Anolis sagrei: one gene and its partners. The protein of the gene in region 4 interacts with the protein of the main gene of each other region in a pairwise test. Links are inferred from orthologs where the notes say so. Each region holds a gene or a part of one and is shown on either strand. Other genes may lie near its edges. The genes, in order: CLK2, NCK2, ARMC7 and CPSF7.

Region 1 (7,001 bases), on a different chromosome or scaffold from region 4:
CGCTGCTGCTTGACCGAGAGCGGCTCCGCCTCCGCTTGTGCTTGCGGCTTCTGTAACGTTCGTAGTAGCTTCCCCGGCTGCTGCGTTCCGACGAGCGGAACCTTCTGGAATGAGGCATCTGCAAATATGGAGACGAGTCTAAGTTCACAGGCATACACTTTCAAACTCAAAGTGGCCATTATTTTTTTTATTTATTTACGGCATTTATGTGCCTCCCTTCTCACCCCGAAGGGGACTCAGAGCGGCTTACAAGATATGTTTTCATACAATATATTATATTATTAGCATAGTACAATATCAGTATTAGATATTACTATATTGCACTATACCAGTGGTCCTCAACCTTCCTAATGCCGCGACCCCTTAATAGAATTACTCATGTCGTGGTGATCCCCAACCATAACATTATTTTCATTGCTATTTCATAACTGTCATTTTGCTACTGCTTTGAATTGTAATGTAAATATCAGATATGCAGGATGTATTTTCATTCGCTGGACTAAATTTGGCACAAATATCCGATACTCCCAAATTTGAATACTGGTGGATTTTTGGGGTGTTGATTTTGTCATTTGGGAGTTGTAGTTGCTGGGATTTGTAGTTCACCTACAATCAAAGAGTATTCTGAACTCCACCAACAATGGAATTGAACCAAACTTGGCACACAGAAGTCCCATGACCAATGGAAAATACTGGAAGGGGGACAACGGCCACTAGAATTGTCTTTGCGAAATTCTGGAAGCAGAAAGAATTACCAGACAAACTCCACTGGATAAAGAAGCTGAAGGAAATTAAGGACATGGATACATCAACTTTTTTATTAAAAAAGAATACAGGTAATCCACCCAAACAGACAGATTGGTCAATAATTGACTACCATATCGAAACTAGATATAAGAACTCATAATTGTGCTGAAGATATAATGAAGAGATAAATTGGAACATATATAAGATATGAACTAAAAGAAGTGACTATACGGGCAGAATTGGAAGGAAGTCCAATTTTTGTTTTTGTGATTTTTTCTCTTTTTTCTTTTCTCTTTGATTTTCGGTTTTGGGATTTGTGTGACTTTGTTAGTTTAGTCTTATGGTTCCTAAAATTTCCTACTTTTCTATCCTCTTGAATTATTCCCCCTCTTTTGCTGTATTTTAGAAAACTCAATAAAATATTATTTTTTAAAAAAAAGAAAATACTGGAAGGGTTTGCTGGGCATCGACCTTGAGTTTTGGAGTTGTAGTTCACCTACATCCAGAGAGCACTGTGGACTCAAAAAATGATGGATCTGGACCAAACTTGACACAAAAATTCCATATGCCCAAAGGTGAACACTGGTGGAGTTTGGGTAAAATAGACCTTGACTTTTGAGAGTTCCCCCAGGCACTGCCAGGCCATCAAATGCTAATCAAGGTGGTCAGTTGAAACATTCACTCCTAGCTCCAGCAGACAAGAGTCCTTTGTCCCGCCCTGGTCATTCCACAGATATATAAACCCGTTTTCCTACTTCCAACAGACCTCACTACCTCTGAGGATGCTTGCCATAGATGCAGGCGAAATGTCAGGAGAAAATGCCTCTAGAACATGGCCATACAACCCATTACAATAATGCATTAATTGGTTACCTGCCTTTCCTAAGGGTTCAACAAGTCTCTATACTGACCACATAACGCAGATTCAAACAATATTATATGGCAGTGTAGATGGGGCCTACATCTGTCTTCCAAAAGGCCTGGTTAGGTTACTCATCTCCATTTGCAAGTGTATTTTCCCTGATTTTCCATAGTGCTCTCTGGATGTAGGTGAACTACAACTCCAAAATTCAAGGCCAATGCCAAACCCTTTTCTGTTGGTCATGGGTATTTTGTGTGGAAAGTATGTCCCAATTCTCTCTCTGGTGGAGTTCAGACTGCTCTTTGATTGTAGGTGAACTATAAATCCCAGCAACCCTAACCCCAAAATCTACCCCCCCCCCCCCAATCCAACCAGTATTCAAATGTGGGCGTATCGGGCATGTGTGTCAAATTTGGTCCAGTGAATGAAAATACATTCTGCGTATGAGATGTTTACACTATGATTCATTACAGTAGCAAAATTATAGTTATGAAGTAGCAATGTAAATAATGTTATGGTTGGGCATCACCTCAATATGAGGAACTGTATCAAGGGGTCACAGCATTAAGAAGGTTGAGAACCACTGACATAAGGTATGGGACAATTTCAACAGAAAGGAGGAAACCACGAAAATGAGCAAAATCTGGCTGCCAGTATGAAAAAACTCTAAAATTACAACAGCTAAACAACAGAGAGGAAACAATCTGGGACAGCTAATCACCTCTCAACAAAAGATTCCCCCAGGCACTGCCAAGCCATCAAATGCTAATCAAGGTGCTCAGTTGAAACATTCACACTTAGCTCCAACAGACAAGAGTCCTTTGTCCCACCCTGGTCATTCCACAGATATATAAACCCATTTTCCTAGTTCCAACAGACCTCACTACCTCTGAGGATGCTTGCCATAGATGCAGGCGAAACGTCAGGAGAAAATGCCTCTAGAACATGGCCATATAGCCCGAAAAAACCTACAACGACCCATTATAATAATGCATTAATTGGTTCCCTGCCTTTCCTAACCATATAACTGACCATATAACGCAGATTCAAACAATATTATATGGCAGTGTAGATGGGGCCTACACCTCCTGTCTTCCAAAAGGCCTGGTTAGGTTACTCATCTCCATTTGCAAGTTAATTTCCCCAGATTAGATCTCTACTATAGTTCTTTTGCACCCAAGCACAGAGGAGACTACCACTTAGATGCCACCAATGAAAAGAAGCCAAGAGGCATGGGAAGGGGGGGATGGGCCCAACTCCAGGGGGTCCCCTCTTCTCCGCCGCGCATGCGCACTCCCGCACCCTCTTGGCCGCCAGCCCTGTCCGCTTGTCCCACAAGAAGTCCGTCTTGGCGGCGGCTGCAGTGGCGGCCACGGCGGCCACGTCTCCTCCGCTCCTCTCCGGCCTCCTCCTCCGCCACCGTAGCCTTTCTTTTGCTCCCCCTCCTCAAACCCAGAGACGGCTGCTCTGAAGGAGCGGGTGGGGGGGAATGGAAGGACAAAGCGCATGCGCAGCAAACGCTCACGTACGGGGCGAACGACGCCACGTAGGGGCCGGCGTAAGAATGCGCCGTGACGTCACGGGAGAAGGCGGAGCGAGCGGTGAAGATAGGAGGGTATTGGGCTTGTGGACATAGAGCGATGCAAAGCTGACTAAACGCCTGTCCGAACTTGCGGGACTATTTCTAACTTTCTCTCAAAGGCTACATATTCTGCAGCTTCAAATATGTTAAGCCAGACATGGACTGCAACTACAAAATACCTGGAGAGCTAGAGTTTGCCCATGTCTATGTCAGGCATATATTTTATTTATTTACTTACTTACTTTATTTATATACAATAGCAAAATTCAGTGCTCAACTTCATAAAAATACCAGGAAAACCAACACTCTGATTAAAAACTCCTCAATAAACATACGACAACAGCTATGTAAATCGGAAGCCCATCCACCCAGGCTTTATGGACTCCCAAAAATCCATAAGGACTCCACCCCACTCAGACCCATCGTGAGTGCCATTGGATCCCCCACATACGACCTAGCAAAATTTCTTGCGGCACAGTTACAAAGCCATATTGGGCTCACTACACACTACATCAAGGACTCAGCCCACTTCATAGAAAGAAAAAAAATCAGCAATCTCAAGCTAAATACCAAGGACAAACTGATCAGCTTCGACGTGGTATCTCTATTCACCATGGTCCCGGTAGCAGACACCATGGCACTCATCAACCAGAGGTTCCCAGAAGACATCACGGCTCTGTTTCACCATTGCCTCACCACCAGTTACTTTCAGTGGGACAATGAATTCTACGAACAGAAAGATGGAGTAGCTATGGGGAGCCCTCTCAGCCCGGTCATAGCTAACTTCTACATGGAACACTTTGAAAAACAAGCCCTGGAGACAGCAACCAAAAAGCCCACGATATGGTTCAGATATGTGGATGACACCTTCACCATTTGGAGCCATGGAGGAGAAGAACTCAACAGGTTCCTGGACCATCTTAACAGCATCCATCCTAACATCCAGTTCACCATGGAAAAGGAAAATGAAGGAAGACTGCCTTTTCTAGATGTCCTAGTTATCCGCAAACCAGATCAACAATTGGGTCACACCGTCTACAGAAAACCCACACACACAGATAGATATCTAGATAAAAACTCCAACCATCACCCAAGTCAAAAAAGAAGCACCATTATTTATTATTTATTTATTTATTTGATGCATTTGTTAACCGCCATTCTCAGCCCTTTAGGGCGACTCATGGCGGTGTACAACACATATAAAAAGGCAATTTACAAAAAGGCAATTACAACAACATCTTAACAATATAACAATTACAAAGTTACACTAAATAATCCGCTTCGTCTCATAGTAGAATCATAACCAATCTCATATTCCTTGTTCCATTCCAGTCATCTTTACCACATTGTTATAGCACTTAATTAAATGCCTTCTCGAACAGCCAGGTCTTAAGGCTTTTTCGGAAGGACATAAGGGAGGGCGCCTGTCTGATGCCTGCAGGGAGAGTGTTCCACAGCCGGGGGGCCACCACCGAGAAGGCCCTCTCTCTCGTCCCCGCCAGACGTGCCTGTGAGGCAGGCGGGATAGAGAGAAGGGCCTCCCCAGACGATCTCAAGGTCCTCGTGGGCTCGTAGGCCAAGATGGGTCCGAAAGGTATTTTGGGCCGGAGCCGTTTAGGGCTTTGTAGGCCAAAACCAGCACCTTAAATTGGGTCCGGTAGCAAATCGGCAGCCAGTGGAGCTTCATTAAAGCCTTGGCAGACCGTGCAAAAAGAATCTGCGAAGCCCACCTTCTCCTCCAAGATGAACTGAACCACCTCAACTGGGCTCTCCAGGCCAATGGAGACTCCACCTCAGACATCAGAAGAGCTGCAAGACAACTGAGAAGAAGCCACAAGAGTCAAGACGAAGATCCACCCAGAGGAAAAGTGTTCCTGCCATACATCAAGGGAACCACTGACCGCATAGGGAAGCTGATGAGGAAACACAACATACAAACAATCTACAAACCCACCAAGAAAATCCAACAAATGCTACGTTCAGCAAAGGACAAGAGGGATCCTCTCACCTCTGCAGGAGTCTACCGTACACCATGCAGCTGTGGACAAGTCTACAGAGGGACCACCAAACGCAGCATTGCCCAGACACGAATCAAGGAACGTGAAAGGCATGACAGACTACTTCAACCAGAGAAGTCAGCCATAGCAGAGCACCTGATGAACCAGCCTGGACACAGCATATTATTTGAGAACACAGAAATGCTGGACCACACCAACAACCACCATGTCAGACTACACAGAGAAGCCATTGAAATCCACAAGCATGTGGACAATTTCAACAGAAAGGAAGAGACCATGAAAATGAACAAAATCTGGCTACCAGTATTAAAAAAAACTCTAAAATTACAACAGCAAAACAACAGAGAGGAAACAACCAGGCACAGATTAACACCTCCCAGCAAGAGATTTTCCCAGGCTCAGGCAGGCCTTCAAATGCTAATGAAGGTAATCAGCTGAAACATTCACACTTAACTGCAGCAGGGAAGAGCTCCTTGCCCCACCCCGGCCATTCCACAGATATATAAACCCATTGTCCTAATTCCAACAGACCTCACTACCTCTGAGGATGCTTGCCATAGATGCAGGCGAAACGTCAGGAGAAATGCCTCTAGAACATGGCTCTATAGCCCGAAAAAACCCACAAGAACCTAGTGATTCCAGCCATGAAAGCCTTCGACAATTCATAAAAATAGTTTAAAAACACTTTAAAAAATGACATAATAAACAATCAATTAAACATAACTATAACATCTCATTAGCGTCTCATAGGTAGAATCAAGATCCAATCTCATAATCCATTGTTCCATATTCCTATATTCAATACACTATTCAAATGCCTGCTTGAATAACCAGGTCTTCACTTTCCTCCGAAATGCTAATAGGGAGGGGGGCCAATCTAATTTCTGTAGGAAGGGTGTTCCACAGCTGAGGGGCCACCACTGAGAAGGCCCTGTCTCTCATACTTGTGACGCAGGCAGGACCGAGAGCAGGGCCTCCCCAGATGATCATAACACCCTAGCTGGTTCATAGGAGGGGATGCGTTCGGACAGGTAAGTTGTATTTTAGATTATTTTTAATGTTAATGTTTATCTTTTCTTGATATTTTTATGCCTTCAGATACCCAAGAATAGGTAAAGGTAAAGGTTTTCTTTGACAGTGTGGATCATAATAAATTGTAGAAAGTTCTTGGTGGTATACAGCCTCCTTAGTAGCAGGTGGGAAGGAGTGATAGAGTTGAACATCATTTGCATACAGGTGACATTACACCCCAAAACAAAACAAAATGTATCCAAATTGTCTGGTGATTATGTGGAAAAGTGAATAGTGGTAGTTAAAGAGCACATTCTCAGGATTATTTTTGAGTTTGATTTATTAAAATATTCCCATCCAAACTCAGGTAACAAAGGGTTGTTGTAGGTTTTTTCGGGCTAACAAAGCTGGAGGCATTACTTTTCATTCAACCCTCATCTTTATTTACTGGTGTGATCATTTCATTTCCATCCTACTTTTCTCCCCAAATGAAATTCGAGGCAGCTTTGGACCATGTTCCCACCACCATTTCCATCCTTGAGATGGGGTCTACACTGTTAAATAAATATACTTATTTTCCATACTTTTGGGGGTAAGTCCTTCGAGAACTATTCACCAAGAGGGCCAGCAGATGGAGCTTGCCTCCCAATATTATGACAGTCTTTCAAATGAGTTCTTTCTTATGGCGGCTCTTAGAGACATTGGTGACTACTCTCATCTTCAGAAAACTTGTACATCATTGGCAGAAATGTATCCAATTGTCTGGTGATTATGTGGAAAA
Region 2 (6,833 bases), on a different chromosome or scaffold from region 4:
TATGAAGGGGATATACTCTTCAGTGCTGCAGTATTTATTCACATTAGCCCTTCCACGATCCAGGAAAACAATCAGCATCCACTCATGTGAGTATATATATGTGTATGTTTGCCTATGTATGTAGATGCTGTAATCCGCTCAAAGTTCCCTAGGGGAGAAGGGTGGAATATAAATAAAGTGTATTATTTTTTTTTATTATTATTTCCCCAAAATCACTGCTTTAAAAAAAAATCCCTCTCCGTGATGGACACAGGCACAGTGGAAAGAAGAGAAACAGATCTACTTTGGTAATGTTCATTTCATGAAATGGTTCAGGGGCCCAATTACATATCTTTCAAAGTCAAGTCTGTGGTATTCCTTTCTCCTCACTTCAACTTCTAGCAAAGGTCCAGAACCCATATTGAAAAGGAATAATGATATGAAGTACTAAACAAGTCCAAAAAAGGGTTCTAAACAAAGGAAGCCTCAACTCTCCCCAGAAGACAACAAAGACTGTCATACTTTGGCCGTATCATGAGAAAACATGATTCAATAGAAAAGAAAAACAATGCTTAGTAAGGTAGAAGGCACTAGTAAAAGAGGATGACCTTATTTCAGAAAGATGGACTCAACCAGGAAGTGCCAGTTCTGAACCTGCAAAACCTGAGCAGGGCTATTGATATTGGAGGTATCTCACTCATGGGTTGCCTTAATTCAAAGTGAACTTGATGGCAGCTAAAAACAAAAAAAAAATATCATAAGAGGAAGGTGAGTCCAGGAAGCCTGATGTGCAGCAAGGGATGTGTCTGATGTCACTATTCTTGTGTTTAAATGGTAGAGAAAGCAGCCCACATGATACTAAAATGATGCCACCATTCTCCTGGAAACTGGGATTTGAACATGCAGCAATGTACATCATTAGAGAGAGAGGAAACTGCCAGCACTGAAAATCCCTGCCTCCCTCAGTATCTTAGAAGGTTCCACAACCCTCAATCACCCTGTATCAGAAAGAAAAGATTTCAGGTGTGGATGCAGTGGGCAGGTACATCATACAGGTGGGCTGGTCAAGAAGTCCCGATTGGCTGCACCTTCCTGCAGAGCACACCTGGGCTCACCTCTGCATCAAATTGGAAATGGTTCGAGGTGAGAAACTAACAAAGAACACAGATTTCAGGGAAGTAAGGAGATCCAGGGGGATACTCTGGACACAAAGTTAACACATGGAAGAGAAGAGTGGTTAATGTTTTCTGCCCCCTAAAATTTCTAACTTAAGTCACAATAATTCTCATTCACCCAGAGAAAGAGATCAGATCTGATTATAAAAACAGGAGGTGCTTTTCTGCCCAAGATAATAGCAACACGCATCATTTACAGAGCGCTTTAGAACAACCACCAGGAAAGATAGGTCAGGGATGGTATTTCACAGATGTAAGAAAACAACAAGGGAGGAGCATGGCCCTCTTTAGACACGGATCCTGCTGAGATGCCTCCCTTCCCCACCCTGATACAATCCAGCAGCTGTCTGGCCAAGGGGGAAAAAAATAAAAACATGTAATAACCCAGGATCATGTGCCAGTGCTGCTCCATCTTTCCTCCAAACCCCAAAGGGGGGCAAGGTTGGATGGGGTGGGTGGGCACAGCCTTCCAGTCCTCCCTCCGGATGGCTCCCACTCACGCCCCCAAAACCCTCCTCCTTGCCACTTCCCCCACCAAAAAAACCCCTCCCTCCACAATGGAGCCCAGAAATACGGACTTCAGTCCCCTTCCCTGTACACACAAACAGGAAATCTCCACAGCTGAAGGGGCCCTGGGGGGAAAGACCAAAGCCTTTGGCCCCTTCCTGCTTTCTTCCCCGAGGGGACCAAACCCCTTGGCCACCCACTTCGGTTGGGGAAATTTCCAGGATTAGGGGAAGAGACCAGGATCCCTTTGGAACAGTTCTCTCCCTTTTATCATTTCTGTAAAGAAAAAAAGCAGCAGCAACAACAACAAACCCCTTCCTTCCCTCCTCTTTTTCCTTCCCTTTCCTTCCTTCCATCCTTTCCCTTCATCCATTCTTCCACTCCTTCCTTCCTTCCCTTCATTTCCCTCTTCAGCCTTCCTTCTTTCCTTCATTTCCCTTCTTTACTTTCCCTTCCCCCTTCCTTTCCTTCCCTCCTCTCCTTCCCTTCCTTCTCTTCCTTTCCCTCCCAACTCCTTTCTTGGGAGGAAAGAGGCAGCCAGCCCTCTGAAACAATAGTTTCCCTCTCACGCTCCAGAAATGGAAGGGAAAAAGGGGGGTTAAAATGGAGTGGGGAGAGAATCGGTAAAGAAAACGTGGGGGTGATCTATAACAAAAGGGGGGGATCTCCTGATTTAGGTTTTTCGAGAAAGGGGGGGGGCGGGTTGTTCCTCCCTGGGAAAAGAAGCCAAAGCTTGGAGTGTTGGGAGAGGGAAGGGCGGCTCTTTCCTGCCTGCCTGCCTGCCTGGCTCTTCCACCCGGGCGCGCTGGCTAGGCCAGGCCCGGGACGAGAGGGCGCCTTCCTTTCTTTCTTCTTTCCCTCCTGCCTGCGTGCCTTGCTTCCCCCTCGGCAACTCCACAAGTTGGCGGCCCCCTTCCTCTCCCCTTGGCGTTTCTTTCCTACCTGGGACGCGGGCTGTCCTCTCTGTGGGCTCCCTAGGAAGAAGGAGGAGGAGAATGGCAGGAGGGGGGGCCGAGGGAGGAGAGGAGGCTGCCCTCCCTCGCTGGCTCTTTTGTCTCCGCGGCGTCGGCGGAGGGAGAGAGAGGGAGAGAGAGGGGGGTCTCCTCCTCCGCCTCCCTTCGCTTCTCCTTCCTCCTCCTCTCCGTCGCTCGGCGCGCCTAAGGCCCAACGGCAGCTCCCTCCGCCTCAGCCCCGCGGCAACGGCTCCGGCCCCTCCCCTTCCACCCAGGCGGCAGTCAGGGCCCTCCTTCCTTCCTTCCCTCCCTCCCTTCCTGCCGCTCGGGGAAGGCGGCGACGGGAGGCCCAGGATCGCCAGCCTCCTCCTCCTCCTCCTCGGCTTCCCTCAGAAAGTGGGAGGGAAAGGCGGGGCCCAGCCCTCTCCTCCTCCTCCTCCTCCCCAATGGAGGAAGGGACAGGGCCGGCCTTCACTTGGGGCACGCCTACACTCCCTCCCTCCTTAGTGTGACGAGGAGGTTCCCGGCCTGAGGTGGCACCAGCCCCCGGCCCGCTTTGGTGGCCTGACGTGGGACATCTCGAGTAGGCGCCCCTCTTCTCTCCAAGTTTCAGACTATTCCATCTGAACATGAGGAAGAACTTCCTGAGAGCCGTTCAGCAGTGGAACTCTCTGCCCCGGAGGGAGTGTGGTGGAGGCTCCTTCTATGGAAGCTTTTAAGCAGAGACTGGGTGGCCCTCTGCCAGGGGTGCTTTGAATGCAATATTCCTGCTTCTTGGCAGAATGGGGTTGGACTGGGTGGCCCATGAGGTCTCTTCCAACTCTAGGATTCTATGATTCTAGGAAGGCAGCAACTCTTTTTCGACTAGTGTTGTCGAAGGCTTTCATGGTTCAAAATCACTGTAAGTTTTCCGGGCTGTGTGGCCACATTCCAGAAGCATTCTCTCCTGACGTTTCGCCCACATCTATGGCAAGCATCCTCAGAGGTTGTGAGGCCTTTTCCCGGCTGTTTTTGTGCGCTCAAAGAACGCTTCTTTTCAGGCTTCGGACAGGGAACGCTCGCGAGGCTTAGGCCGCATCGGCAACATAGAAGGAATGCAGCTTAACGTGGACTCAGTGCCAAGAGAGATCTAGTTTTACGGGGCGCCCCTCCTCTTCGGTAAAGAGCGCGTAGGACTACAGCTGCCAGGATCCCACAGCTTTGAGGCATTGGGCTTCTAAGGGGTTCCAACCCGCAATAGTTCTACAGTGTAGATGCAACTTTTTAAAGATCACTGTTTTTTGGGTATTGCCAGGTGAATCTCCTCCTTGGCAGGGCGAAAGGGCTTCGCGGGGGGCTTCACCTCGGATGCCCGGTCCAGGCTAGGGTGGAGTGGCCCTCCTTTGTTTCTCCCTCCCCCCCTCCCCTCCCCCCGGCTAAAAATAGAACCCGTCTCCCGTTCCCAGAAGGGCCACCCGAGAGGAAAGGGAACTTTCAGGAACGCGTCAGGGGCTCCGAGGAAGCCGATTGGGTGGCCGCCGTGACGTCCCAGGTGGAAGTACCGCCTTCCCGAAGCCGCCCATCAGGGAGGAAGAAAAGCCCGAACAGGAGGATGCGTCTCTCCTGTGCCCAAGAGTGGATGCTGCCTTCTGGCACCACTCTAAATGCCATGGCTCAACGCTGTGGAGTGCTGGGAGTTATAGTTGTACAGGTCTTAAGCCCTCTCTGACAAAGAGTGCTGGTTCCTCACCAAACTACAACTCCTAGGATTGCATAGCATTCAGCCATGGTCATGAAAGTGGTGCCAAAATGTGGTTTGTTTGTTTACTCTATTAGTATACCACCTTTCTCACCCCTGGGGGAACTCAAAGCGGTTTACAACATACTAATGGCAAATATTCAATGCCATTTCCCCCAGCTGCAGTTTCAGTAATGTATCTTATAAAAACCTTTGCTTCTTTTTGTATCGTGATAGTTTTGTTTTGTTTTGAATACTTTTTTTCAGAATAAAATAAATTAAGGTTTTATTATTGTAAATACGCAAACAGATAAATAACACACCTGCTCTTCAGCTTAGAAATGGAGAAAAGCACCACCCCCCAGAGTCAGATTTGACTAGACTTAATGTCAAGGGGAAACCTTTACTTTACCTTAACAGTGTGTAACAGTACAAGTTGTATCTAGAAGTTTTTTGGTTTTGGAATATCTGTCCCTGTAAAGGATGTTCAACTTGTATTTGGGTGGTTTGGTTCAATTTTTTTACCTATTAGGTTTTCACTTCTATTTATTTAATAAAGAATTGAAAGTGTACATATCAATAAACTAATATTAATGCAATTATAGACACTAGTAATGAACAATATTGTAAAAGAAATGTGGAACAGAAATACGGAACAGCAATATTGTGAAAGAAATATGGAATATGCAGTCCTGTCCTCCCTAACACGTTGGAGCACTGAAAAAAAAATACTCTAGTGTTTTGTTTTGTTTTGTTTTTGACACTACAGAAGGCTATAGTATCAGGCACAAAATTGCATCGCTGAATACTCTGCTAGACTTTCTCCTCTTGTTTCCAGTTGTCAGTTCCTTCACTTCATGCAACTGATAGAGTAGATAAAAATCTATGAAATCTTACACTACCAACTTCTTTCTTTCAGTGAATCTCAAAGGTGCTACAAGATCCATTTGCCCTGTAATTGTGCCACAAAGTTGGTCCTAGTCAAAAATCTGGACTAAATATTCTGAAAAATAAAAGACATTTGGGATATTATTCATAAAACATCAAGAGTAAAATTTGCTCCCAAACTAGAGTTTATATATGAACTTGATAAACGTATTTCAATTAGCGTAAAATTAACCAGAATATATATTTTGATTAAACAAATCAGGGATGAGTTAGGGTTCCACAGAATGTAGTTGTCTTCAACAGGGTTCCATGACTGAAAAGGTATGGGGATTGCTGGGAACCATCCACACTGCAGAATTATAACAGATTGATGCTAGTTTAACTGTCATGAATCCATCTTGTAAACTCTGGGATTTGTAGTTTGTTGTGGCATCAGAGCTTTCAATCAGAGGTAAATATCACACAAAACTACGCATCCCAAAATGACATAGCATGGCAGTTCAAGTTGTCACACGGCTATAATTCTGCAGTGTAAACACAGCCATGGCCATGTTAGTCTGGACTAATATTTCCCCAATTTAGGTCCTCCATCTTTTTTTGGACTTCACCTCCCTAAAGCCCCAGCCAGCTTGGCCAAAAGTCAGGAATTCTGGAAGCAAAGGTCTAAAGATAATGGAGGACTAAGTCTGGGAAGCGCTCATCTGGATGATCCCTGGTTAAGCATTGGGGGCCAATTCATCATTGGATTTTGGAGCATTTTGTATTTCTGGATAAAGAATGCTTGGCCTGTATTATGTGAGCAAGGATTTACAAGGAGCACATTTGCATGCATTGAGCACTACAGCCAGGAACTATTTTTTTCCTATTGTGATGTGCAATGGCTGGTGGAAGGATCCTGCCCATTCCGATAAGTAAGGCTGTCTCACTGGTTCCATACTGGTTTTTCTCACTCCCTTCATTACCAGAGCTTTGGGCAGGATGAGAGAGAGAGAGATTGAGGGAACAGGTAGATGGAGGAACATTAAATACATAACCAAAAAAATAGAAGAGAAGAACAATTGGGAAATCTGGGGAAGCTAAGGTAAACCATAGCTCAAATTTTCAAAGCTAACCAAGGAACTTGTGAAGCTGACCTGAATCTCCTTTGGCCACCTTCAGCATTCTTCATGCCTTTGAAGATCTGCGCAGTGAGTTATTTTGACACAAGGCACAGCCATGGCTATTTGGGTCCATTGAGATAGAAGGGGTGTCCAGTTCTCCCTTTGCTTTGTTATGTCCTTTCTTTTAAAATATTTATTATTTTAACAACAGATTTAAGCTGAAATCAAAAGTTGTTGTTAGAAAATTTTATTTGATGGTGCCAAGATTCATGGGGACCCCAGAGATTAGCATGCAGCCACCTCCGCTATAAATTTTTATTGTTATTTTGCATGACATCCATCAGTATTTCTAAAAAGCAAATGAGAAAGAAAATAAGCAAAACCACATCAAAAGAAAGAAACAAAAAAACGTTCTCAGCTTTGAATTATGTCCTGAATTATGTCCTGTTTGAATTTAAAATCTTCTCTGCAGTTAACATGCTGGTTCGGTTAGAATAGGAAGCGCTGCCTTAAT
Region 3 (7,779 bases), on a different chromosome or scaffold from region 4:
AAAAACAGCTCCTAGCCTCATTCATTCGCAAGATGGTGAGCTTGCGATGTAAGATCTAATGCAGTGGTTCCCAACCTGTGGTCCGTGGATCACCAGTGGCACGCAAGAACTAAAATATGGTTTACTGTCTCACCATTACCACACCGTTGAAATGGGAGCGACTGGTCTCGCAAAACCCTCTTAATAGTACCGAGGCTTATTAAATATGGATTTTTTTTGGGCAAGCAGATAGCGACTACTGGATGGCATATGTTCTGTATCAGAAACTAGAACCAAACCAAATCTAAAGTTGACCAAAAACTGATTCATAACCCTTTTAGTACTAATGTTGGAGTGTGGTCCCTGATCAAAGTGGTTCCTGGTCAAAAAAAAGTTTGGGAACCACTGAGATATTCTCCACTAAATGAGTTAGAGTTTTAAATTTGTTTCTGGCTAAAAATGGTTAGTAAAACTTGATAACTCATCAACCCGTTGGTAACTTTTTATGTCATTGTACCATGTTGCCAACATGAACTATATTACTTTGACATTTTGAAACACCCTGTATAATAAAACTTCCCTGCCTACAATCGTAACTACTGCCCTATAGCCATGCTGACATGTTTTCAAACAGGTAAAAATAGCTTCAAGTGGAATTATTTAACCTTTCTGAACTCAGCCTTCTGTCCTGAGTCCCTGGCTGACTTTATGGCACCTCTATCTATTGCTAAATCAATTAGGGAATCTGATTCCAAGGGCAGAGGTGAGTTTCCTGTGGGCTAGGAGTTTATAAATTGTGGCTCATTTCCAGCAAGGATTAGTTTAAACCCACACTTTACCAAGTGCAAATTCCACAAGGGTTTCATTGTCCTCAGTGAGCATATCCAGGAAGAGGTCCAGAACCTTCAGTTGCCGGAGGTATACATAATTCTTGGGGTCATAAGCAAAGTTAGCTAGATTGGCCAGCACTTGCTCCTTGGCTTCTGCAATATAATAAAAAAAAAATGCATGCCTTAAGATGAGGAAACAATCGATGGAGAGGAGCAAGGCATTCAGAAACCCAGAGCCAAAGAGGAAGAGATGAGTAGGTTCTCCTCACCAGAACTTTCTGACACTTGGAACTCGGTGACCAATGCTTGCAGGTATTCCAGTCGATCCAGGCCTAGCAAGTCCTTCTGTTTTTCAGACATAGTGCTGATGGAGAAGACAATTTTATTTATTTATTTAATTTATTTACAGTATTTATATTCCACCCTTCTCACCCCGCAGGGGACTCAAGGCGGATTACAATGTACATATACACAGCAAACATTCAATGCCATAGACACACAACATATATAGACAGACACAGAGGCCATTTAACCTTTCAGCTTTATGAGGGTATTCTGGCAACCAGGGGAGCTGTTGCTTCACCATCCATTTGTGACACTGATGAAGTACTTTCTCATTCTTTGCATGCTTGCTGGGGATGTATATGGCATTGTAAATTAGCCTCTCCGCATAAGCGGTACCTAAATTTCCTACTTGAAAAATGCAACTCTTTCAAGCTGCAAAGGTTGACAGCAAGCTACACAAATTGGTCGGGAGCTCACTCTGACCCGGGCTGGCTTCGAACTCATGACCTTTTGGTCAGTAGTGATCTCAATGCAGATGACTTCCAGCCAGCTGTGTCACAGTCCTGGTACACTCAAAGAATATTATTATTATTATTATTATTATTATTAGAAGCAGCAGTTATTCAGATTTACTTACACTGAAGTGTTACTTCAGCTTTATTGATTCTATATACATTTTTACATTTTTATCCTTTGTTAGAGAAAACTTTCTAGTACTGTTAATATTTATTTATTTATTTAGAACTTTTGTATACCGGTCTTCTCACCTCTGTGGAGGGACTCAGGCCGGTTTCCGACAATAATATCACAAGCAATCGTTTAAAAACATCACACTAACACATTAAAATACCAAAATACAATCATATAATTACAATGGCCAAGTTGTCACAATAAAATTGTTGTTCATCACCATCCATCCATATAGCCATGAGTTATTGACTCAAATGCCAGTTTCCAGAGCCAGGTTTTCACCTGTTTTCTAAAAGTCAGGAGAGAAGGGGCAGTTCTAATCTCCAGTGGGGGGGGGGGTTCCAGAGCCGAGGGGCCACCACCGAGAAGGCCCTGTCACTTGTCCCTACCAGGCGCGCTTGTGAGACTGGTGGGACCAAGAGCTGGGCCCCTCCAGAAGATCTTAACAATCTTGATGGTTCATAGGGGAGAATACGTTCAGACAGGTAAACGGGGCAGGAGTCGTTTAGGGATTTATAGATTAACGCCTATAAATCCCTAAGGCTTTATTAAGGTTTCTTAAGGCTTTGTACGGTTTTTAAAAATATTCCTATATTTTATGCTAAATGTTTTTAACATTATTTTATTGTTGTTTTAATTGTTATAATTGTTGAGGCATCAAATTGTTGCCAGTTGTGAACCGCCCTGAGTTGCCTCTGGGCTGAGAAAGGCGGTATATAAATGTGGCAAATAAATATATTTAAAACAACATGTTCAAGAAAAATAACATTTCAAACTTAGCAATGGGAAACAAAATATTGAATGAAATTTGAGAAAAAACACCACCAGGGCACGTTTTATCGCATTCTCCATTCCTCTCCTTTCCTTCTTCATCAAAGGATATGACATGCAAAGAACCCAAACAATACAGCCTGACCCGAGAATACATACAGTATTTTAACTTATCCTAAGAACTAAGTGGTTCTCAGCCTGTGTGTCCCCAGGTGTTTTGGCCTACAACTCCCAGAAATCCCAGCCAGTTTACCAGCTGTTAGGGTTTCTGGGAGTTGAAGGCCAAAACATCTGGGGACCCACTGGTTGAGAACCACTGGATCATGTACCATAGGAAGAAGGATTGTTTTTGAGTTCACTTACCAGCCAAGGAAAGCGACAGCATCCCCTTCGGTTTCCTTGATGCCTAACAAGAGCCGAAAAGGAGAGGGAGGAAAGCATGAAGCAGAAGCAGGAAGTGACGTTTGACAACGGGCGGAAAGGCTTCTGTAAGGGCAAAAGCAATCCCGTTCCTTCCCGCCTTGAGAGGGTCGGCTACGGAAGCCTCCGAGGGCCGTAAAGGGCGGAGCGGATTCTGTTTACCCTTCGCGACCAGCTTGCTCTCGGCCATGGCGAAGAAGGGCCTGCCCAAGCCGTTGTTGTTCGGGAGCATCCTGTGTGCCCTGGCCACCGCCTTCGTGTTCAGGTGCGGAGACGCGGACGGGCGGGCTGCTGCCGGGTTCAAGCAAAACCCCTGGGGCGGCCATGTCCCGTTGCAGCAGTGCGGCCCGGGCCAGGCCTCTCCTTATAGTCGCCCCACGCACTGCCTGCATCTAATGTAGTGATCCCACATGTACTGCAATGGCGAGATAATCATGGGAGTTGTAGTTTTACAAGGTCTTCACCCTTCACTGCCCAGGAGGGATGGTGCTTTTCCAAACTACACATCCCAGGACCCCATAGCATTGAGCCATGGCAGTTCAAGTGGTGTCAAACTGCGTTCATTCTACAGCGTAGACCGTAGAGCAGGCCTGGGCAAACTTGGGCCCTCCCTCCAGGTGTTTTGGACTTCAACGCCCACAATTCCTAATGGCCTCAGGGCCCTTCCTTTTTCTTTCCTTCCTTTTAGCTTAAGCGGCAGAGGGAGAAAAGGAATGGGCTTGAGGCTGTTTGTAATGGTGGGAGTTGAAGTCCAAAACACCTGGAGGGAGGGCCCAAGTTTGCCCAGTCCTGGCCTTGAGGCACCCATGTTGTACAACTTCATCCACCTCCAGCATACCAGAAATCCTGTGCCAGGCTTTGTGTGACATTAAATGGGTTGCTCATTAATGTGCCACCGGATTCTGTGTCCATGAATCCAACCACTCACAGTTTGACAATATCTTTAAAAGATGAAAAAGAAGAGAAGAGCAACCCTTGATTTTACATAAGGGACACTATTTTATTGCACATTATTATTATTATTATTTCCTGCTTTATCTCCTGCAAAGAGGTCTCAAAGCGGCTTAATATAAAAGCATTAGCATAACCATTTAAAATTTAAAATATACAAATAAAAGGTAAAAATTTCCCCTGACATTAAATCTAATCGTGTCCAACCCCGAGGGGTGGTGCTCATCTCCATTTCTAAGCTGAAGAGCTGGCGTTGTCCGTAGACACCTCCAAGGTCATGTGGCTGGCATGACTGAATGAAGCGGGGTTACCTTTGTGCCAGTGGTACCTATTGATCTACTTACATTTGCATGTTTTTGAACTGCTAGGTTGGTAGAAGTTGGGGTAACAGTGGGAGCTCACCCCGCTCCTTGGATTCAAACTGGCGACCTTTCAGCCAGCAAGTTCAGCAGCTCAGCGGTTTAACCCACTGCGCCACCAGGGGCTCAAAAAATAGTACAAATATACACGCATTACAACAGGATTAAATATAAACAGTATCTGAAAATTCCCAGGTAAATTTAATTGTGAATAATAGAATGTGAACTTTCATGTCTTTTTGACATCCTGAGGGCCCATTGTATTTCAAAGCTGTGCCTCAAGGCTCCTTTATAGAGCAGAAGCATTTCGTATGAGGGAGAGAGTTTGTGCAGCAGCAATACTAATAATACAGTAGGGACTCAGGCTCCTTCCACACAGCTGTATAAAATCCTACATTATCCACTTTGGACTGGGTTATATGGCAGTGTGGACTCAGATAACCCAATTCAAAGCAAATATTGTGGGATTTTCTGTCTTGATATGCTAGGTTATAGGGCTGTGTGGATGGGCCCTCAGTTAACCAGCATTCTCAGCTCTTCAGTGCTAAGCGTTATTGGTGCTCGTATAGCAGTATGGCGGTGAATAGTGATGAATTCAGAAGAGTTTCCGTTTGAGCGGAATAGGCCCCTGGGTGCTTAGTTTCTTTAACCAAACTCTCTCTGTGTGCCTGTTTTTTACAGACGGAGTTTTTTCCCTGAGATAGAGGAGCTTCGTTCCCAGGAGTTCCAGTATTATGAGGAGAAGCGCCAGGAGGTGCTGCAGAGGCGCCAGCAACAACTGGCTGAGCTGCCAAAGAAGAGAAGTGCATCCTAGCCAGCCTTTGCCCCTAAAGGAGAGCTGCCTAGACAGAGTGGGTGGCTTTTCTCATTACTCCTGGTACCTAGGAGCTTTGGCCTTCATTGCTTGTACAGTTCAGCAGGTCACATCCTAATGAAGAAGATATTTTCTTGGAGAAAGTGATTTGTCTGGAAGGACATGAATTCTGGAGCGGGACTCAAAATACCGATTACAGGTTGTCAAGTGTTCGCTATTCTACGTAATTCATATGAAGGGCTGATTGTGTTTTTCTTCATTAATAGAGACAGAAGGACAGACATGTTAGTGTACTCACTGCTTTGAGTTTCAGAATCAAGAAATTCTGATTCTTGTACATGTATTTTTAATCACTGTTTGAAACCCAATTGGTAACACAAATGAATTACTGTATTTCATTGATTGTAAGGTGAATTTTTTTTCCATATAGTGGTCTTCAAAATCATGCATCTTATCATCGCAGGTGCATCTTAAAATCACGTTTATAAAAAATACTTTTACTGCACTTTGTTGATGGAGCACACATTTTATTTTTAGGCAGGCAACCCACCTTAGGCAGAAAGGCATGTCCAAATTTCACAGATAATGCTTTCACAAGCCCATTTTGAACAAAGTAGCACTCTTCATAAGTATGCAGCCACTATTATCGAACAAGTTTTGATTTTATCTCCAAAACCACCTACGTAAAAAGTTAAGTTCCCAGATCTGTGTTTCACTTGTTGTGATCCCTTATTGCACATCAAAATGTCAAAAAGATTGCACTACGAAGCCACATTCAAACAAAAAGTTATTGAATATGCAGAAAAGCATGGAAATAGAGCTACAGGTCAACATTTTTATATAAGTGAGGTAAATGTTTGTCTCAGGAGAAATGCTCGCAATTCCATATTTTTGGGCAAAGTATCAACTAAGTGCTTTATAGGACCTAAAAAAGGAAGGTTTCCACAATTTGATGAAGCTGTGATACATTTTGTACAGCAGACAAGCACAAAAGGATTACCAATCACTTGACAAACCATGCAATTGAAAGCCATAGAAATTCTCAAGTCCCTCAGACTAGATGACAGAATCTTTAAAGACCGCCAGGGCTGGTGTGAGAGACTCGCTTGTCGTAGCGAGTTACCCTTGATGAACATCTGTCTGTCAAAAGAATCCTGCAGACTTTCAACAGAAGCTGATCAACTTTCAGCAATATGTGATTGAATTAAGGAAACAAAGAAAATATGAGTTCAGTCAAATTGGAAATGCTGATGAAACTCCAGTCTTCTTTGATATCCCTCAAAATTACACCATCAATGCGGAAGGTGCTAAAGATATCCACACTACAAGTCCTGGCTATGAAAAGCAGCGTATCACTGTGATGCTGTGTATCACTGCCAATGGTAGAAAGTTGCCACCATACTTAATTTTAAATCAGAAAAACATACAAAGAAGATTTTCCCCAAAGATGTTATTGTATGTTCAAGAGAAATAGATGGGTGACAGCAGAGCTTATGAAAGACCAGCTAAGTGTTGTGTGGGAGAGGCGTCCTGGAAATCTTCATAACCCACCTAGCATTCAAATACTTGATGCATTTCATGGACATTTGTCCAACCAGGTCAAAAACAAAACCAGGCAAAAGGGTGGTGAGTTAATTGTGATTCCTAATGGCATGAATATCCAACTGCAGCCACTCAACATTTCAGTCCACAAACCATTTAAGGATAATTTGAGAAAGGAATACGAATCCTGGCTGATGACTGACAGACTTCCTCTGACACCTTCTGGAAAAATTAAGAGAGCACCAGCAATAAAACTGGCAGAATGGGTATCAACAGCTTGAAAGCAAATCCCAAAAGAATAGTGCTGGACTCATTAAAAAATGTTGCATCACAAATGCTCTTGATGGGTCAGAAGACAATATATAATGGAATAATTATGCTAAAGACGGGTCAGAGGAATCAGACTCTGATGAATCAGATTCAAATACAGATTCAGAAGCAAGAGATGAATAAAATACCATACCTTCTTCATTTTGTGTGCATTGTTTATGTTTAATCTGTTTCCCTATTGTTGTTCGTAAATTTAATTCTATTGGAGTAATAAAAATATTTGTTAGATATATTTTAGGGTTTTATTTTGTTCTTAGAATTAATTTGTAGAAATTCTAGAAGATACTTTTATGAAAATTCTTTTTTCTTAGTATCATACCTTGAAATTAGTATGCGGCTTACAATCAATGCCTTAGAATTGATTAAACTTGGTACTATAATGTATTAAGTGAAAAAAGTCATGGACAAATTAATAGCTTGAGGGTAAAGCAATCAAATGAAGCAGTGTTTTATTACAGTTTAGTGCAGTGGTTCCCAACTGTTGGGCCTCCAGATGTTTTGGACTTCAGCTCCCAGAAATTCATACCAGCTGTTAGGAACTGGGAGCTGAAGTCCAAAACATCTGGAGGCCTACTGGTTTAGTGTGAACCTTTTTTTTCTCTCTTTCACATTTTAACACACTAGAAAATTATAGTGCCTGCTTAAAGGTTTAAATAAAATAGTTTAATAAGGGCTATATGTACATAATCCCAAATACTGAGATTCATTAAAAAATGCCAATTGTATCAGTATACCTAATCACAAATTTTAGGAAAGAAACTATATTAGCGAGAGGTAGAACTGAGAAAAGGGAGGTTGTAAGGGGAAT
Region 4 (7,755 bases):
CTCCCCAGATTCGAACCACTGATTTGTCGGCTAGTAGTCCTGCCGGCACAAGGATTTAACCCATTGCCCCACCAGGGGCTCCTCATTAACACTAACTATAGTTACCAAACTTTCTTATGGATGATTAGGAGGAACTACCACTAAATAAGATGGGTCTTGCTTACACATTTTTGTAAAACTAAATCCAAACTCTGTTAGGTTTCAGTAGTATATCTACTCAAATCAATAGGTCAAATTCATCATCACTAACTTCAGTTCCCATTAATTTAAGTTAATCTGCTTGAAGTCTGAAGACATCTGAAGCCACCCTTGAATGCTGAGAATTTACAACAATTAAAAGAGTGAATTTACTGACAATCAGCACTGAAAATAATACCAAAGATCTTAAAGGGCACGATCAATTGGATAACATATGTATGTCCCCCAACCTCCAAAACATGTTAACAGATAAGAAATAGAGACAAAAGTATTGTATGTACTGACAGCTACAACTGAAAAATAATACTTCATGAGACAGGAAATTTCACAAAAATCTAATGATCAGAAAAGGCACCATTCCACCTTACCTGTTGCCCAGTAGTAGATATCCCAGTCATTGCTGGGCTCATTAATCAGACGATCATAAAGATCCAGCTGTTTCTCACTCATTTGATTCAGATTCTCTTTAGCAAAAAGACTGGGGAACACAATAAGACACAAAGTAAATGAAATTGCTAAACATATGCCTACAGCCAGGAAACTGATCAAACTATAGACAAACAATATACCAAATAAAGACAAATCTCTACATTCTCATATGCCATTAAGAACCAAATTTGCAAAGAGATAGTAAAATGGACAACATTTTGTGGAGACATGCTGAAGTCAAAGAAGAGAATCGGAATATTTTGTATAGCAGGCACAACAGGTAAAAACAGAATTTGCTGCACAAAAAAGAGGACTGATACGAAATTAAGACAATACTGGCTGTATTTTCAGAGATTTTGCTTGAGAAGAACAAGGTCATTTCTGTGAAAATTGCCAAGTATTTTCAGCAGTAAAGTGCTCCTCATTACTGCTTCTTAAAGTGAGGGACCCGAACCTAAACGAAGTCTCCTTAGCTCACTGTGGGGTCCTGAAAAAATTGGTAAGAGTACACATTTTGAACATCACCTGATGGCTGTTTTAGACATTTTCATGAAGGTATTTGTGCAGTTTTTACAGTGGACTCTGCAGAAGATGCTTCAGCTGTTCTTTATAAAAAGAAAAATCATCCTGTTTAGCAAGCCTTGAAAATGCTGATTTGTTATTAGTGTTTGATTTTATGCTTATTTTATATACCTATATACCCAGGGTCACATAAAAATTTCTCAGGCCGAAAGCGGTCACTAATGGAAAAGTTTAAGAAGTTTTGGGTTACAGACAGGACTAGACTATAATGTTATTTTTTTTTTTAAAAAAAAAGTTTTAACATAAAGCATTAGTACAAATTTGTTAACATATTTGTTGCCCAGTAATTAATTAATATTGAATTGTTTGTATATTACTTTATTTATACCCTGCTTTTTCTCTCAAAGGTATGAATTTTATAGGACTTTCTTCAGCAAGGAATATTCAGAGGTGGTTTTGCCAGTTTCCTCCCTTTGAAATCTAGCCCACAGACTCCCATTGCTGGACTTGTGAGTTTGTTGGCACACTAACCAGTCTGATTCAGTTTAGCTTTTAAGATCAGATTGGTTATTTAGTGTGAATATCTAATGCTCTTTGAAAATGTAAGGGTGGTGAGTTACTTTATTAAAATAACTAAGCTCCGCTGATTATATTCATTTTCTCACCTTCCCACAAACATAATTCTAGGTTTTGAGGGAAATCAAGAGAAATCAATTTTAAAAAGCAGGGAGAGCAAAAGAAGGTGCAGCAAAGGGTTTTATTGCAAATTGGGGGGGGGGGGGTGAGCAAACGTTTGTGTGGGGGGGGGTTTATTTATTTTTGTGTTAGGAGTCACTTGAGAAACTGCAAGTCGCTTCTGGTGTGAGAAAATTGGTAATCTGCAAGGACGTTGCTCGGGGACACACAGATGTTTTACCATCCTATGGGAGGCTTCTCTCATGTCCTCACATGAGAAGCTGGAGCTGACAGATGGGAGCTCACCCCACTCCCCAGATTAGAACTTCCGACCTTTTGGTGAGCAGTCTTGCCGGCACAAAGGTTTAACCCACTGCGTCACAGAAAGAACCATAGAAACTGAGCCTCTTTATAATCTTTTGTCATTTCTGGTGCATGTCAGGAGGGCTATGAAGATGCATCTCCACTCGAAGAAGGATAGATTTCTCCAATAATCTGGTGCTGCTGCTCCCACTGGGGATAAATGAACTCCTTGGCACACTGTATTCATATGGTTCAAAGGCAGGAATCGGGGGATGTGGGGAAGGACAATGAGAACTGGGGAACAGAAGGATGCCCGGTAAGGTAGGTCTTGATGGTAGTTTACCTTAGAAGTCGTTCACATCGTCATTGGTCAATGTCAACTTGAAGATAGTTAACAACCAGTGCATCTACACTACAGTATTCATGCAGTGCAACACCATGGCTCAATGCTATGGAATCATGGGAGTTGGAGTCTTGCAAAGTCTAGAGCAGGCATGGCCAAGCTTCGGCCCTCCGGGTGTTTTGGACTTCAACTCCCACAATTCCTAACAGCCTACCGGGAGTTGAAGTCCAAAACACCCGGAAGGCCAAAGTTTGCCCATGCCTGCTCTAGACTTTGCATAACTACAACTCCCATGATTCCGGCTGTTAGGAATTGTGGGAGTTGAAGTCCAAAACACCCGGAGTGCCAAAGTTTGCCCATGCCTGCTCTAGAGTCTTTTCTGCCAAAGAGTACTGGTGCTTCACCAAACTACAGATCCCAAGATTCAGTACCATTGAGCCTGGGCAGCTCGCGCGGGACCAATCTGCGTTAATTCCACCACGTGGGGGCTCCCACCTGAGGAGGAGGCAGTTCTCCAGCATGCCCCTCTTGCGGCTCTCGTAGAGGAGCCGGGCCCGCTTGGTGCTGAGATCCTCCTGGGGTCGGGCCTGCCAGGGTGGCAGCGGGATCTCCAGCATGTCCCGCCCGGAGTCCGAGGGCGCGTCCCCACGGTAGCCACATCTCGGGGCGCAAAGGAGAAGGCGGCGATCCCGGAGAAAGAGGGAGACCCGCTGCAAGGAAGGGAGAACTCTACGTGAATGCCCGGTAGCTGCCGCTCACCCCACACAATTATTTATTTGGGTTGTTGTAGGTTTTTTCGGGCTATATGGCCATGTTCTAGAGGCATTCTCTCCTGACGTTTCGCCTGCATCTATGGCAAGCATCCTCAGAGGTAGTGGGGATGCTTGCCATAGATGCAGGTGAAAGGTCAGGAGAGAATGCCTCTAGAACATGGCCACATAGCCCGAAAATCCTACAACAATCCAGTGATTCCAGCCATGAAAGCCTTCGACAATACAATTATTTATTTGTTTATTTACAGTATTTGTATACCGCTTTTCTCACCCTGACAGGGACTCAAAGCGGTTTACGCATAAGTAATGGCAAAAATTCAATGTCAGTACAAACAATTACAATGATATACTACAACTAGCTGTCCCCTGCCACGCGTTGCTGTGGCCTAGTCTGTTGATCTGGAAAATAAAGTAATGAGAAAGTGTTGGTTTCCAATATATGTAATTTATTTCTGCTTGTGGGTAAACAGTATTTTTTGTTGTTTCTTTGCCAGTGTTGATGTGGAGATTGTCTGGTTTGCCTACTCTGGAACATGCAACATATCACTGTCCTTCTTTAGGGGTCCCTTTCAAATCTATGATACTATATCTGTGTGTGTGTGTGTGTGTGTGTGTGTGAATCATATATATTTATCTATATCTATGGCTGGATGGCTCTTTGTCAGGAGGACTTTGATTATGTTTTCTTGCCCTGATGAAGGGAGTTGGATTGGATGGCCTTAAGTATTTTCTGTTGGTCTTGGGGGTTCTGTGTGGGAAGTTTGCCCCAATTCTGTCGTTGGTGGGGTTCAGGATGCTCTTTGATTGTAGGGGAAGTATAAACTACAACTCACAAATGTCAAGGTCTATTTTCCCCAAACTCCATCTGTGTTCATGTCTGGGCATATGGAATATTTGTGCCAAGTTTGGTCCAGATCCATCATTGTTTGAGTCCACAGTGCTCTCTGGATGTAGGTGAACTACAACTTCCAAACTCAAAAAAACAAAAAACCAATGAACGAAATGTCAATGGCCACCAAATCCTTCTGGTGTTTTGTGCTGGTCATGGGAGACCTGTGTGCCACGTTTGGTTCAATTCCATCATTGGTGGAGATTGTAAGTAAACTATAAATCCCAGCAACTCCAACTCCCAAATGACAAAATCATAAATTTTTGAGTGATGGTCACTCCTTGTGTTGTGAGACGTTTTGTTGCCAAATTTGGTGTGATTTCGTTCATTGGTTCTTTTGTTTTTAAGGAACTCATTATGCACAGAGCATTTATATATATATAGATTAGACATTAATCAAATTAAAAAAAATACATCCATGAGCAATCAAACAATAAAACACCGGGCTTGGTCCAGCTTACTCACCCGAACTGACAGCGCCGCCATCTTGGCGCCTTCCCCGGCCGCTCTAGCCCTCCCTCTTGAGCATAAAGAGAGGCGAGCGCAGCCGGAAAGCCGACAGTGGTGATGGGGTTGCGCGCGCCGGGCCGGAAGAGGCGGGCCTTCCTGGAAGGAAGGGAGGGCGGAAGGGGCGGGGCGGCGGCGGCAGCAGGAGGCGCTCACGGAGAGAGGGAGCCAGAGTGAGGTTCGCGCACACGGCCGCTTGCGTCTCGGGCCTGCTGGGGATCCTGGGCCTTGCGTAACGGGCGCGGCGGCGGCGGCGGCGGTGAAGGAGGAGGAGGCGCAGGAGGCGGCCGCGCGGGAGGGGATGAGGTGCCGGCTCCGAGGGGTCGGAGGCGGCGGCGGTGGGAGGTTTCCCTGGGAGCGCGGGAAAAAAAGGAGGCCATGACTGGAGGGAGCGGGAGTGCGCGCGCAGCTATGGCGGCCTCGGCGGCGGCGGCTTGCAAGTGGGAGTAGCGGCGGGAGGAGGAGGAGGAGGAAGGGGGCCTGCTCGGCCTCTTCGCCCCTCCATTCCCTTCCCGCGCCCCCGCTTCCTTCCCCTCCGGGCCGCGCGGCTGAGCGGAGGGGGCGGGGCCGGCGCTGGGCCCTCAGCCTCCCGGGCCCGCCTTCCTCCCGGAATCGTTGTCCGACGGTGGCCGGGGAACTTCATGAGACCCAAGGGCCATCCAATCCAGCCTCCTCCTGCCACACAATTAAAGCACCCCCAACAGATAGCCACCCAGCCTCTACATATGCCTCCACCACACCCTGCGGCGGCAGCGTATTCCACTTTTACCGTCAGGAAGTTGTTCATAATGTTTAGGTGGAGTTAATTTCCCCGCAAGTTGAGTCCATTGCTCCCTTGCGTCCTGGTCTCCAGGGCAGCAGAAAACAAACTTGGTTCCTCCTCAGTGTGACATCCATTCAAATATTTGAACATGACTATTTGTCTCCTCTCAACCTTCTTTTCTCCAAGCTAAAGATACCCAATTCCTTCGGCTGCTCCTCATTGGTCTTGGCTTCCAAACCATTGATCATTGAACATGACCATACATCCCGAAAAACTTACAGCAACCTATTGATCATTTTAGTTTCCCTTCTCTGGATGCATTTTAGCATCTTGGTATCTTCCTTGAATTGTGATGCCCAGAATTGGAGACATCATTCCAGGCGAGATCTGACCAAAGCAGAATAGGTTCTGGCCCAGCTTACTTGTCCGAACGCATCTCCCTCTACATCCCGCCTCACAGTTTAAGATCATCCAGGGAGGACCTGCTCTTGCCCCTGCCAGCATGGCAAATACGGCAGGGACAAGAGACAGGGCCTTCTCGGCTGTGGCCCCCCACCTGTGGAACTCACTTCCCACCGAAGTTTCATCCCTCCTGTCTTTCAGGGTTGTGGTTCTGGGACCAGGCTTTTGGACAACAGACATAGATAGCAGTTTAATATGGAATTTGACTGGAATGACTATATGGCTGTTAATACTGTTTTTATTGTTTTTATGAATGTTCTATTTATTGTTTTTAATTGTTATTATATTGCTTTGTTATATGTAGTGGCATCGAATTGCTGCCAAATGTAAGCCGTCCTGAGCCCCCCTTCAGGGGTTGAGAAGGAACGAGGTAGAAATACTGGAAATAAATAAATAGAGTGGGACTATGCATTTGGTAGAGGTGGTGATGTGTGTTCCTCTTAGTCCTCGATCTCCAGCTGTGGTTCTCAACCTGTGGGTTCCCAGATGGTTTGCTCTACAACTCCCAGAAAACCCAGCCAGTTTACAAACTCTTCAGATTTCTGGGAGTTGAAGACCAAAACATTTGCGGTCCAACAGGTTGAGAACCACTGATCTAGATACGATGATCCTATTGATGCTGCCTAGAATTGTGTTGGCCTTTTGAGCACTAACTCTCCTCCTCTTCTCCCCTGCACAGTGTGCAGCTCTGCCTCCCCTGTTCTCCTCAGAGGCGCTCCTGAAAATATGTCGGAAGGAGTGGACCTCATAGATATCTACGCCGACGAGGAGTTCAACCAGGTGAGCCCCTGCCAAATGGGAGCGAGGGAGAGAAGGAAGGAAAGAAAGAAGGAAAATTTGCCATATTCAGAATCAACTGAAATTTCAAACAATACTGAGGACTTGTCTACAATAATCATTTAATGCAGTTCAAAGCTACCTTCAAACTTTAGTGATCAGACAACAAAAACCCACAAAACTTCATGAAAGAAAGCCCTTAATGTTCATCTGTGCTAATTGCCATTTGGACCTCAAACTGGTTTCATGAGTTCCTATTTAACCACGTTTCTCAATACAAATTTGAAACTGCATTAAATGATATTTGTAGATTCGCCCCAAGATTGGCTACATTTGCCTAAGAGCATAAAAATAGTTAATTGGTTCTTGGGAGAGTTCGAGCTTGATTTATCCTGGGACCCAGTGATTTATCTTTTTCATAGTCCTTGGCATCAATAGAAGACTTCTCAAGCACCACATTTCAAAAGAGTTGGTTTTCTTACACAGTGGATTTGATGCTCAGGAGGGGTTTCTCCTACTGTTAATGTAGAGTGAGTGAACTGTAAATGGTATGTTATGTCAACTTGTAATAAATGTTTTGATTTTGTTACTTGTGGTGAATCTTTTTAATGTAACAATGGGACTGAAGATATCCCTTACTTCTCAGTCAAAGGGAAGACTGCAGGTTTTTTTAGATGTGGGTTGAGAAGAAAGTGAAACTGGTTCAGTTTGTATTTGGGTATGAAGCTTCATAAATGGATTTGAAGGCTTGTTCTATGATGACAGCAGGCCAGCTTTCACATGAGTTTTTATTTGTATAGAGCAGTGGTTCTCAACCTGTGGGTCCTCAGATGTTTTGGCCTTCAACTCCCAGAAATCCTACCGACTGGTAAACTGGCTGGGATTTGGAGGCCAAAACATCTGGGGACCGCACAGGTTGAGAACCACTGATCTAGAGTAAAGTTGGGCTGTAGCCTGTCCTGTCAATAGTACCACGCTGACAAAGTGACAGAACTACAACACCACTCTGTTTTCTTTTACAGCATTTAGCTTTCATGCCTTAGAGTAGCAGGTAAGAGTACCACAATGCAAATTTGGCTTTCTACTTCAATGCTTGTTCATATCTTACATTAGG

Evidence for each region.
Region 1: the proteins of CPSF7 (region 4) and CLK2 interact in binary tests that used the Homo sapiens proteins (3 or more experiments, as listed by UniProt). The link is inferred for Anolis sagrei from reciprocal best matches to the Homo sapiens genes CPSF7 and CLK2.
Region 2: the proteins of CPSF7 (region 4) and NCK2 interact in binary tests that used the Homo sapiens proteins (3 or more experiments, as listed by UniProt). The two-hybrid records come from large-scale screens. The link is inferred for Anolis sagrei from reciprocal best matches to the Homo sapiens genes CPSF7 and NCK2.
Region 3: the proteins of CPSF7 (region 4) and ARMC7 interact in binary tests that used the Homo sapiens proteins (3 or more experiments, as listed by UniProt). The two-hybrid records come from large-scale screens. The link is inferred for Anolis sagrei from reciprocal best matches to the Homo sapiens genes CPSF7 and ARMC7.

Annotation. Positions count from the first base shown.
Region 1 is NC_090032.1:7,780,382-7,787,382, forward strand, and holds the start of CLK2 (dual specificity protein kinase CLK2), read right to left. Parts: upstream 3,008-7,001; 5' UTR 2,912-3,007; intron 119-2,911; coding exon 1-118. UniProt on the Homo sapiens protein: Dual specificity kinase acting on both serine/threonine and tyrosine-containing substrates. Phosphorylates serine- and arginine-rich (SR) proteins of the spliceosomal complex.
Region 2 is NC_090023.1:106,057,079-106,063,911, reverse strand, and holds the start of NCK2 (cytoplasmic protein NCK2), read right to left. Parts: upstream 3,012-6,833; 5' UTR 2,604-3,011; intron 1-2,603. UniProt on the Homo sapiens protein: Adapter protein which associates with tyrosine-phosphorylated growth factor receptors or their cellular substrates. Maintains low levels of EIF2S1 phosphorylation by promoting its dephosphorylation by PP1.
Region 3 is NC_090022.1:117,198,293-117,206,071, reverse strand, and holds the start of ARMC7 (armadillo repeat-containing protein 7), read right to left. Parts: upstream 3,021-7,779; 5' UTR 2,919-3,020; intron 1,174-2,918; 5' UTR 1,170-1,173; coding exon 1,079-1,169; intron 963-1,078; coding exon 819-962; intron 1-818. UniProt on the Homo sapiens protein: As a component of the minor spliceosome, involved in the splicing of U12-type introns in pre-mRNAs.
Region 4 is NC_090021.1:236,184,298-236,192,052, reverse strand, and holds the start of CPSF7 (cleavage and polyadenylation specificity factor subunit 7), read left to right. Parts: upstream 1-4,739; 5' UTR 4,740-4,817; intron 4,818-4,826; exon of another isoform or gene 4,827-4,945; intron 4,946-6,543; 5' UTR 6,544-6,590; coding exon 6,591-6,644; intron 6,645-7,663; exon of another isoform or gene 7,664-7,692; intron 7,693-7,700; exon of another isoform or gene 7,701-7,755. Other genes in the region: SDHAF2 (succinate dehydrogenase assembly factor 2, mitochondrial), read right to left, coding at 567-676, 2,966-3,180, 4,598-4,618.